Linked DNA regions of Caenorhabditis elegans. The protein of the gene in region 2 interacts with the protein of the main gene of each other region in a pairwise test. Each region holds a gene or a part of one and is shown on either strand. Other genes may lie near its edges. The genes, in order: nhr-111 and flh-1.

What was found.
Region 1: the proteins of flh-1 (region 2) and nhr-111 interact in a two-hybrid assay, tested with the Caenorhabditis elegans proteins (2 studies listed by BioGRID).

What each region holds. Positions count from the first base shown.
Region 1 is NC_003283.11:16,123,148-16,127,073, reverse strand, and holds the start of nhr-111 (Nuclear hormone receptor family member nhr-111), read left to right. Parts: upstream 1-2,234; 5' UTR 2,235-2,292; coding exon 2,293-2,344; intron 2,345-2,752; coding exon 2,753-2,863; intron 2,864-2,905; coding exon 2,906-3,076; intron 3,077-3,272; coding exon 3,273-3,412; intron 3,413-3,467; coding exon 3,468-3,557; intron 3,558-3,598; coding exon 3,599-3,770; intron 3,771-3,819; coding exon 3,820-3,926. Other genes in the region: fbxa-143 (F-box domain-containing protein), read left to right, coding at 327-957, 1,005-1,211. UniProt on the Caenorhabditis elegans protein: Orphan nuclear receptor.
Region 2 is NC_003282.8:9,262,312-9,266,237, reverse strand, and holds the start of flh-1 (FLYWCH transcription factor 1), read left to right. Parts: upstream 1-1,974; 5' UTR 1,975-2,006; coding exon 2,007-2,023; intron 2,024-2,535; coding exon 2,536-2,761; intron 2,762-2,809; coding exon 2,810-3,580; intron 3,581-3,626; coding exon 3,627-3,926. Other genes in the region: Y11D7A.19 (NADH dehydrogenase [ubiquinone] 1 alpha subcomplex subunit 13), read left to right, coding at 42-428. UniProt on the Caenorhabditis elegans protein: Probable transcription factor. Binds to the DNA sequence motif 5'-[AG]GGCGCCG-3' in the promoters of target genes, including micro-RNA genes, in order to repress expression, and acting redundantly with flh-2.

The DNA.
Region 1 (3,926 bases), on a different chromosome or scaffold from region 2:
TAAGCGTCAGGTTTGGTCAAAAGTTGTCAGATATTTTATTTCATTATTTTCAAAAAATATGACCTTCCGATTTTGTTTCAGAATGTACAAAATGTACTAAACATTCTGAAAATTATTTAAACTTTGCAAACGAGAAAAATGTTTATCACTTTGGGGTTTTGGTATTTTGAGCTAATAAAAATGAGCATTTTGCGATGAAATATATATGTATGGTTTTCATAAATTTTAGTTTTCTGTAACTTTGTCAATAACCAGGACTATGCAATTGCCGCGCACCCTAAACTTACAGCTTTCTTGAAAATCATTTCAAAATCTTCTATTTTCAGATTAATTGTGCGAAAAGTGTCTCGAAAAATGAGAGAAGTTATTGACACTCACAACCCTGGCTTCAAAACTCTAGGATTTTTTGTGAAAAAGAATTACACATCATTGCTCGTGGATAACATGGAAATCAAATATAGCAGCGTGGGACGTGATTGTGTCCTGAAGTATGGACAGAAGACAAAAACAATTATTGGTGCAAAATCTGTTGATGTGGCTTTCAATGACTTTGGAATTATCATGAAGAATCCGGCACTTCGCTTGGAAAAATTTCCGATTCAGCTTTCTGTTGATGTTGAGCAAACTGGGACTTATTTTTCAACTCTTCTTGATGTTTTGAAATCCTCCATGTCTTGCCTACACGTTAAAAAGTTTCATGGGACAGATTTCTCCGAGGAGCAGCTTCTATTAGTGATCCCTTTCCTAAAAGCTGGATATCTTGAAAAAATTGAGCTGCTTTCCAATGAGCCCACAGATCTCGAGAAAATCGCTAAACTTGAGCAATGGAAAAGAGCACAAGTTTTTGATTCGTTCTGGAAGAGTTATAAGGTTTCTGTCGAGGATATGCTCCATTTCAGAGAGTTCTATGTAATTGTACCTTGCTTTTCAAAAGAGGATGCAGTAAAACTGAGAGATGTAAGTTTAAATAAAAAATCGAAAAAAAATCCAAGTATTATTTTCAGTTGCTCACAAAATCAGTGGACTTCGAGAACGGGTGCTTCAAGTTCCCCGAAACCAACATTATCGAAATAGTGAGAGTTTTCATTCTGGACTACGAAGGAGAAGAACGGGCCAAAATTGATTATAACGAGAATGGCACAGATTTTATCTTGGACTTTAGCACAGAACACTTTCGATTGACAAAAAAGAAGATTGTGGACAGTGACTGAAATTAAATTTTAAAAAATATGATTTTTTTTAAAAGTTTTTGTATTGAATAAATTTGAGACAGACCGACGGCTCGAATTTCAGGTCAAAAGTAGAATTTTGCAGTTTGCATAATTTCAGTTTTTGATCACCCCATTCAGTAGGGAGCCATAAAAAATGGAATGATGATTAATATGCTCTTCTGAAAAATTAGACTTGTGTAAACACAGTGACGGATAACGACGTACGATTCGATAAAAAGGAATAGCTGCGGGAAATGGTGAGCACATGTGTAGGCTAGGAAGCAGTAGGCATTTTTTAGATGTGTTTGGTGCGGTTCAGTCAATTTTTTGCTGGGCTTTTGTGCTTCACATTGAGAGCGTTTTGATATTTTTGACTAGAAACTGAATGTGAGAAAATACTTGTTTCCGAGTATACTAGATGCTATACATAGGTTTTACAGTTTTATATCTTTATTGCATTTAACTGAAAATGACCAAAATCTGAAAAGTACGTAATTGGAAAATGTATGTCAAATTTCAGAATTTAATTAAATATACAACTGAATCGAAATCTGAATATTCTGAAATTTTCAATGAAGATCTCAGTTTTTTTTCCACCATCTTTTGCGCTAGGTTAGCTTAAAGACATTTTTCGTTTAAAATGAAAAAGTATTTAAATGAAAAATGACATATATTACGAAAATTTCCGCTTTCAGAAAATGTGATATCATATATTTCCAGCGGACAATTTCCGCATTTCTATGACTCAACAATTTATAGTCCAAATTTTATTTCAATTCGATCATTCCCTAGTGAATGTTTGCTTCTGATTGATTTCAACTTTAAATACACAAGTGATCTGAAGTATGGTATATCTGCAAAAAATTTTAGAGAGATTGCTGCTCAACTTTTGGCACCTTTTCTCTCGTTTCTCTAACTGTCACTTTATCCTTCTTGTACTAAGCCGGCTGCCTCCAACAGGTCAAGTGGGAGGAGTCGTGATTAGAAGTTGAGCAGTAACCAAATTATTTTTATGCTATTATTGTAGATACTGACAGGATATTCTCAACTTACTCAACGAGAGAATATTTAACAAAAAAAGATGAGCAGCCAAAATGCGAAGTCAATCGGTGGCATTTTGGAAACTTCAACAGGTATGCCCCAATTTATGGGATCGAAAAATTTTTTCATGCTTTAACTAGATAATTACTCAACTCACCGAAATGTATAAATGAAAGCATTTGGTAAAATATATCAGAAAATTTTTAGAAGTCGAAAACAAACTTGCAACGTTGTTTTCTAGATTTTGGAATTTTTTTGACATTTTCGAACAGATTGATAGCAATTTTTGTACTATACTTGTTGACATCTCAAAAATGTATTCTATGTTTCCATTATTTAGATCCCAGTTACGTTATAACCTGACAGAGGTTTGCGGGCGGTAAGTAGAAAAACCAGAAGCTTACAAAACTTGACCGCACTTATCAGCTTCTCAATTTACTTAGTTCAAAAGTTTTATGACAGAAGATTTACAATCTTTCACGCATATCTATAACTTTCAGTGCCTCTGGTCATCCAACCGCAGATTGTAAATGACCCCGCGCAAAACAACATAACTCTTCCAATCACGCTTTGTGCAGTTTGTGGGGACACTTCTAACGGAAATCATTACGGTTGGAAAGAAGATTTAGAAACTAGATAACAATGAATTTTAGGTGTGCCAACCTGTTTCGGATGCAGTGGGTTCTTCAGAAGAACCGTTAGAAACAAGTTGGTACATGGATGTTGGAATGGAGACGGAAACTGTGTGATTGATAAAGCGAACCGGAACAGGTGCAAGTCCTGTCGAATTAAAAAGTGCTTCAAGAAGGGGATGAATAAGAATGGTAAGCTGCTTCTCTGAGTTTGGGCTTCAGATCATTAACTTTGTGTTTGCACCATATAGTGCGGTAGGTATTTTTCAGTGGCCGACATTTTTTTGAGTTTCGCGCCGCACCATATTAACAAAGGCCTGAGGCCGGCAGAAGCCTCCTGAAGCCGGCGAAGGCGACACAGTTTCGTCTCTAAATAATTATTTTCCAGCTGTGCAACCCGAGAGAACTTCCCATAGCTACACTGTAGAGTATGTCGAGTTGCCCTCATTCCGAGAGTATTCCAAGGGACTTCTGCCTACTCACTCTGATCGTCTCAGATTCCAACACGAACATGCTCAACATGAAATTGTTAGTTAATCAGGAGACAAACTATCAACCTGAGACACCACAAATTTAATTTCAGGACACAAGCTCCGTGCTAGTTCATCTGAAAAACGCACTCCAGTGGGTGCAACAGTTTTCGCTCTTCGCAGTGCTTTCCGATGTTGAAAAGGTCTAAATGCCAAACATAAAAGTCATTAAAAAAATTTCCAGAGCCAGATCATACTGACCCAGTGGCCACATCTTTTGTGCCTCGCGTTGTTCGAAAACTCCGAAAAAATCTTCATCGATGAAAAATTTGCACAACTGGCTGAGAAATTCAAATCCCTCGAACTTTCGGCGCAGGATTATTTCCTCTTGAAGGGAATTATTATTTTCACGGAAAGTAAGTTTAACTAGAAAAGCTGCTGAGCTTTCAGAAACTAAAATTTCAGCCAAAGATGGCACTGATCTCAAATTCGATCGCCAACTTGATATCTGTATCGGCCTTCTCAATCAGTTGCACCTGGAGTCTTCAAAGTCCAAATCTGGAAGGCTTCTA
Region 2 (3,926 bases):
AATTTTAATGAGAACTCTGAGCAACCTTTGTTCTCTTTCAGGATTCTCGCATTCATCAGTACTTTCCATTTGATCCTCCATCTCCTTTGTCATCAGAAGAAAAAACTCCAACACAGTCTCGTCACAATTCACCGTCTCCAACAAGGTCTCCTGTAACAGAACCTAAAGAATATGATCCAATAGTACCTCCAAACAGCCCAAAAAGGGGAATTCCAGAGCACTGGTCACAGCGAGCACAAGATAATATTACAATGGGATTTGGTTTTGCTCAGAGTTGGATGAACACCATAAAACCATCGAGAAATACAGTAGAAGAACGAATAAGACTCCCACAAATATATCATGTTCCAAGAAAAGAATTCGTTTGTTTGGTGGCACTCACATCGGTTGATGAAGCTCTCTTCCACACAATATTAATGTTCCCATGACTTCTGAGGTCTTTTAAAATGCATTTCTTCTCTTCTTCAGATCGAAATTTTGTATACATCTCAGCACCCCATAAACAAAAGTTAATTTTCAAAAAATGTTTGATAGATTTGATTCTGTTGAATATTTTCGGCTGCATACTTTAAGCAACAAGTGGATTTTACACCAAATTGTTAACTGTGAGCCGAAAAGGCTGCATCCCTTTTTTGATAAAGAACCAAAGCCAAACCACGTACGGGCTAGAAGAGGAAGAGATTATGATCGTTTCTGAATTTTCAAATAATATTGTAATGTTATTTTCTTCATATGTGCTAGTAAAATGCTTTTTATGGGATGATGCAAGTGAATTTTTCTACATTTCTCGACAATTTATTTGCAATGCAAGTAAGCAGCATAATGACGCAAAATTCGCCATTTTTTTTACATTTCTCTACATTTCTCGACATTTGAAAAAAACACTCATTTTTCGTCAAAACCACGTCTTTAGTTCACGACTTTACCTTCCCAGACGTTCACGTTTGTTAAAAGTAGTGTAAAATGGGAAAAATAAAAATAATTTGAGAATTTTAAAAGATAGATGCGTGGCCATTCAACGTGGTGTTGCAAAACAGCCAAATTTGAAAAATCAAACTTGATCATTTTTAAATTTTAGAATTCAAAACCACGTTGAATGACCACGCATCTATCTTTTAAAATTCTCAAATTATTTTTATTTTTCCCATTTTACACTACTTTTCACAAACGTGAACGTCTGGGAAGGTAAAGTCATGAACTAAAGACGTGGTTTTGACGAAAAATGAGTGTTTTTTCCCACGTCGAGAAATGTAGAGAAATGTAAATAAATGTAAAAAAATTGCGAATTTCGCGTCATTTCGCTGCTTACTTGCATTGCAAATAAATTGTTGAGAAATGTAGAAAAATTCACTTGCATCATCCCATTAGAGATGAATTCCTATTTGAAACTGCTGCAACTATGTAAAAAATATATATGGTGACTTATTGATATTTCATTTTCCATTTTCACAACCTCGTGGACCACCAAAGCAACATGCAATATTCTATTTTGTTTTTTAGGCCTGTTCAAATAAGTTTCCAGTGATACGCAATTTATCGTAGCCGTTATTGCACAAAAAACGTCAATGAGTGACAGTAGTCCACGCGCATAACTGTTCATCATTTTTCGTTTCATTTGTTTTTTCTCTGGACAGATCTGTGTTTCTCGCAATTTCTTTTCATATTAAATCGTTAAAATAGTAATTTTCAATTTCCAATTATAAGAAAACCGAAAGTTATTCTTATAATCTCTCAAATGCTTAAAAAACCAACCTAAATAAACAGAAGTTCCTTTTGGATTATTTTAAATTATTTTTGCCAAATCTAAAAATAAAACCAAAAATAAATCAAAATATTCTCAACTATGAGACATTTGTTTAAAAATCGTTTTTTTTTTCGCTTTTGTATTTTACAGGCAGTATTTGTTTTTTTACACACGTTGCCATCTTAATCTATTTTATTCGAAATTTTTATAAAATCTAAATTTATTTTCAGGACGGCGTCTTCCAATTATCTAATATCGGAGGATGTATTCGCCAGAATCGTAAGGCTCCTGCTCAATCATAAAAAAACGCTTGCCTCTATTGTTAATCCTACATGTCTCCCTTTTCTCACGTCTAGCGTTCTTCTCTCCCCTCCCAACATCGCCCTATCTACTGTAATCCAACGTCACCATCTGTCCCCGCTGCCTCCATGCCGTCGTCTTTTTTTGCTCCCGTTTGCTGCGATTGCCCTCCCACGAAGGACCTCTTTGGTGTAAACAGTGGAACGGACCCAAGAGTGCGCGTACGCGGTCCGCGAGCGGCTGACCGCGCACGTCATTAGAAGAGACAACAAATGAATCAGAGAGACGCAGAAGAAGGGACCATAATGTCCCGCCCTTTCCCCGTTGGGTTGAGAGACTTAGACCCCCGAACGCTGCTAATGTTACAAATATGTCATTCCAATAGGATTTTGGTCTACCGTCTGGCTGCATAGTTTTTTACTTCCTATTTTAACCTCATCACTCAATTGGTCTTATCTTCCATGTAACTTAGAATAATTTATTAATTTCAGAATGAACTCCAACATATCTTCTCCATCCCCTCCGTCGTCGTCTTCTCTTAATGCTCCAAGTCTTGCGGATGCTCCTGAAGTTAGATCCGATGATGGAGAAGCCGAAACTTCCGAACCATCGACTTCTGTCACAGCTGTACCAATGGAGATTGTGTCCCAAGCATCTACATCTGCTCCTGTTAACCAGTTGCTCGCGAGCGGAATTGATATGTCTAGCGTTATTAAAGTAAGTTTCCTCTATCCAAGATGTTATTTCATTTGATTGTTATTTCAGAACAACGCTGTTTTACAGGCACTTCTTGCCAGTGCCAGTGCCGGTGGATTCGGAGACAACGCAGGCCTCACCATGTCAAAATTATTGACCGCCGCTCTCGCCAATGGATCCACTGCGGTTGCTAAAAGAGATGCAGGTTCTCCACGTACTGATATCCCAAAGAAAACTCGTCTGAAAGTGTTTTCAAACGGATTTTTCATGACATTTGACAAGCTTTCATCATGTCAAAAGAAATATTTCTGGAGATGTGAATACAAGAACACTTGTAAAGCACGAATGCATACGGATATTGTTACTGAAAAGATCCTCACGTTTATCCATGAGCACAATCACAGTGCACCAATAGATGAAGAAGTTAGACTTTATGGATTGGACCCAACGAATATCGAAAGAAATCGTGTCTACATAGTTGGAAATGTTGCTGATCCAAATCAACGAAGAAAGATCCGAAAGCAAGTTGCGGATAGAGAAGCAGCTGCAAAGAGGCTCGTTCAACAGCAAGAAGAAGAACAACAGAAGCAACAAAGTGCATCATCAATTGTGGCGGCTCGAGCAGCTTATGCGCAAGCAATGCAGAATGGCTCAATACCCACATCTTCTGGGGTCGCGTCTTTTCTCCAGTCAACTTCGGCCACTGCTCCAATGACGTCTCATTCAATGCTCCTTGCGCAGATGCCATTTTTAAATAATATTAAAACGGAGATGTCAAATATGGTGAAAAACGAACAATTCACTCCTGAAAGATACACACAGCATATGTCTCCAAACTTGGTATGTCAACTTAGTGTTGAAAGTTTATTCTATAATAATTTTTAAGCCATTGCAGACCGCCACAATTGCTCCACTAATAATTCCAACAGAGAACTACGACTCACCTTCATATAGACAACCAGCAATCAAAAGAAAAGCTACTGATTTGACGAATGAAGAACATGATTTGAGAAGAGATCCGATGTTCCAGCCAACTTTCGAGCTTGCCAGAAAATTGAGAAAACTGTGGAAAGGAGAACCGAACAGATATCCAAGAACTACTACGACTCCGACTCATCATTTTGAATTCTTCCTTTCTAAAAATGATGGAACAGATGAGCATCTCTATGTTCCAATGAGAATCAAT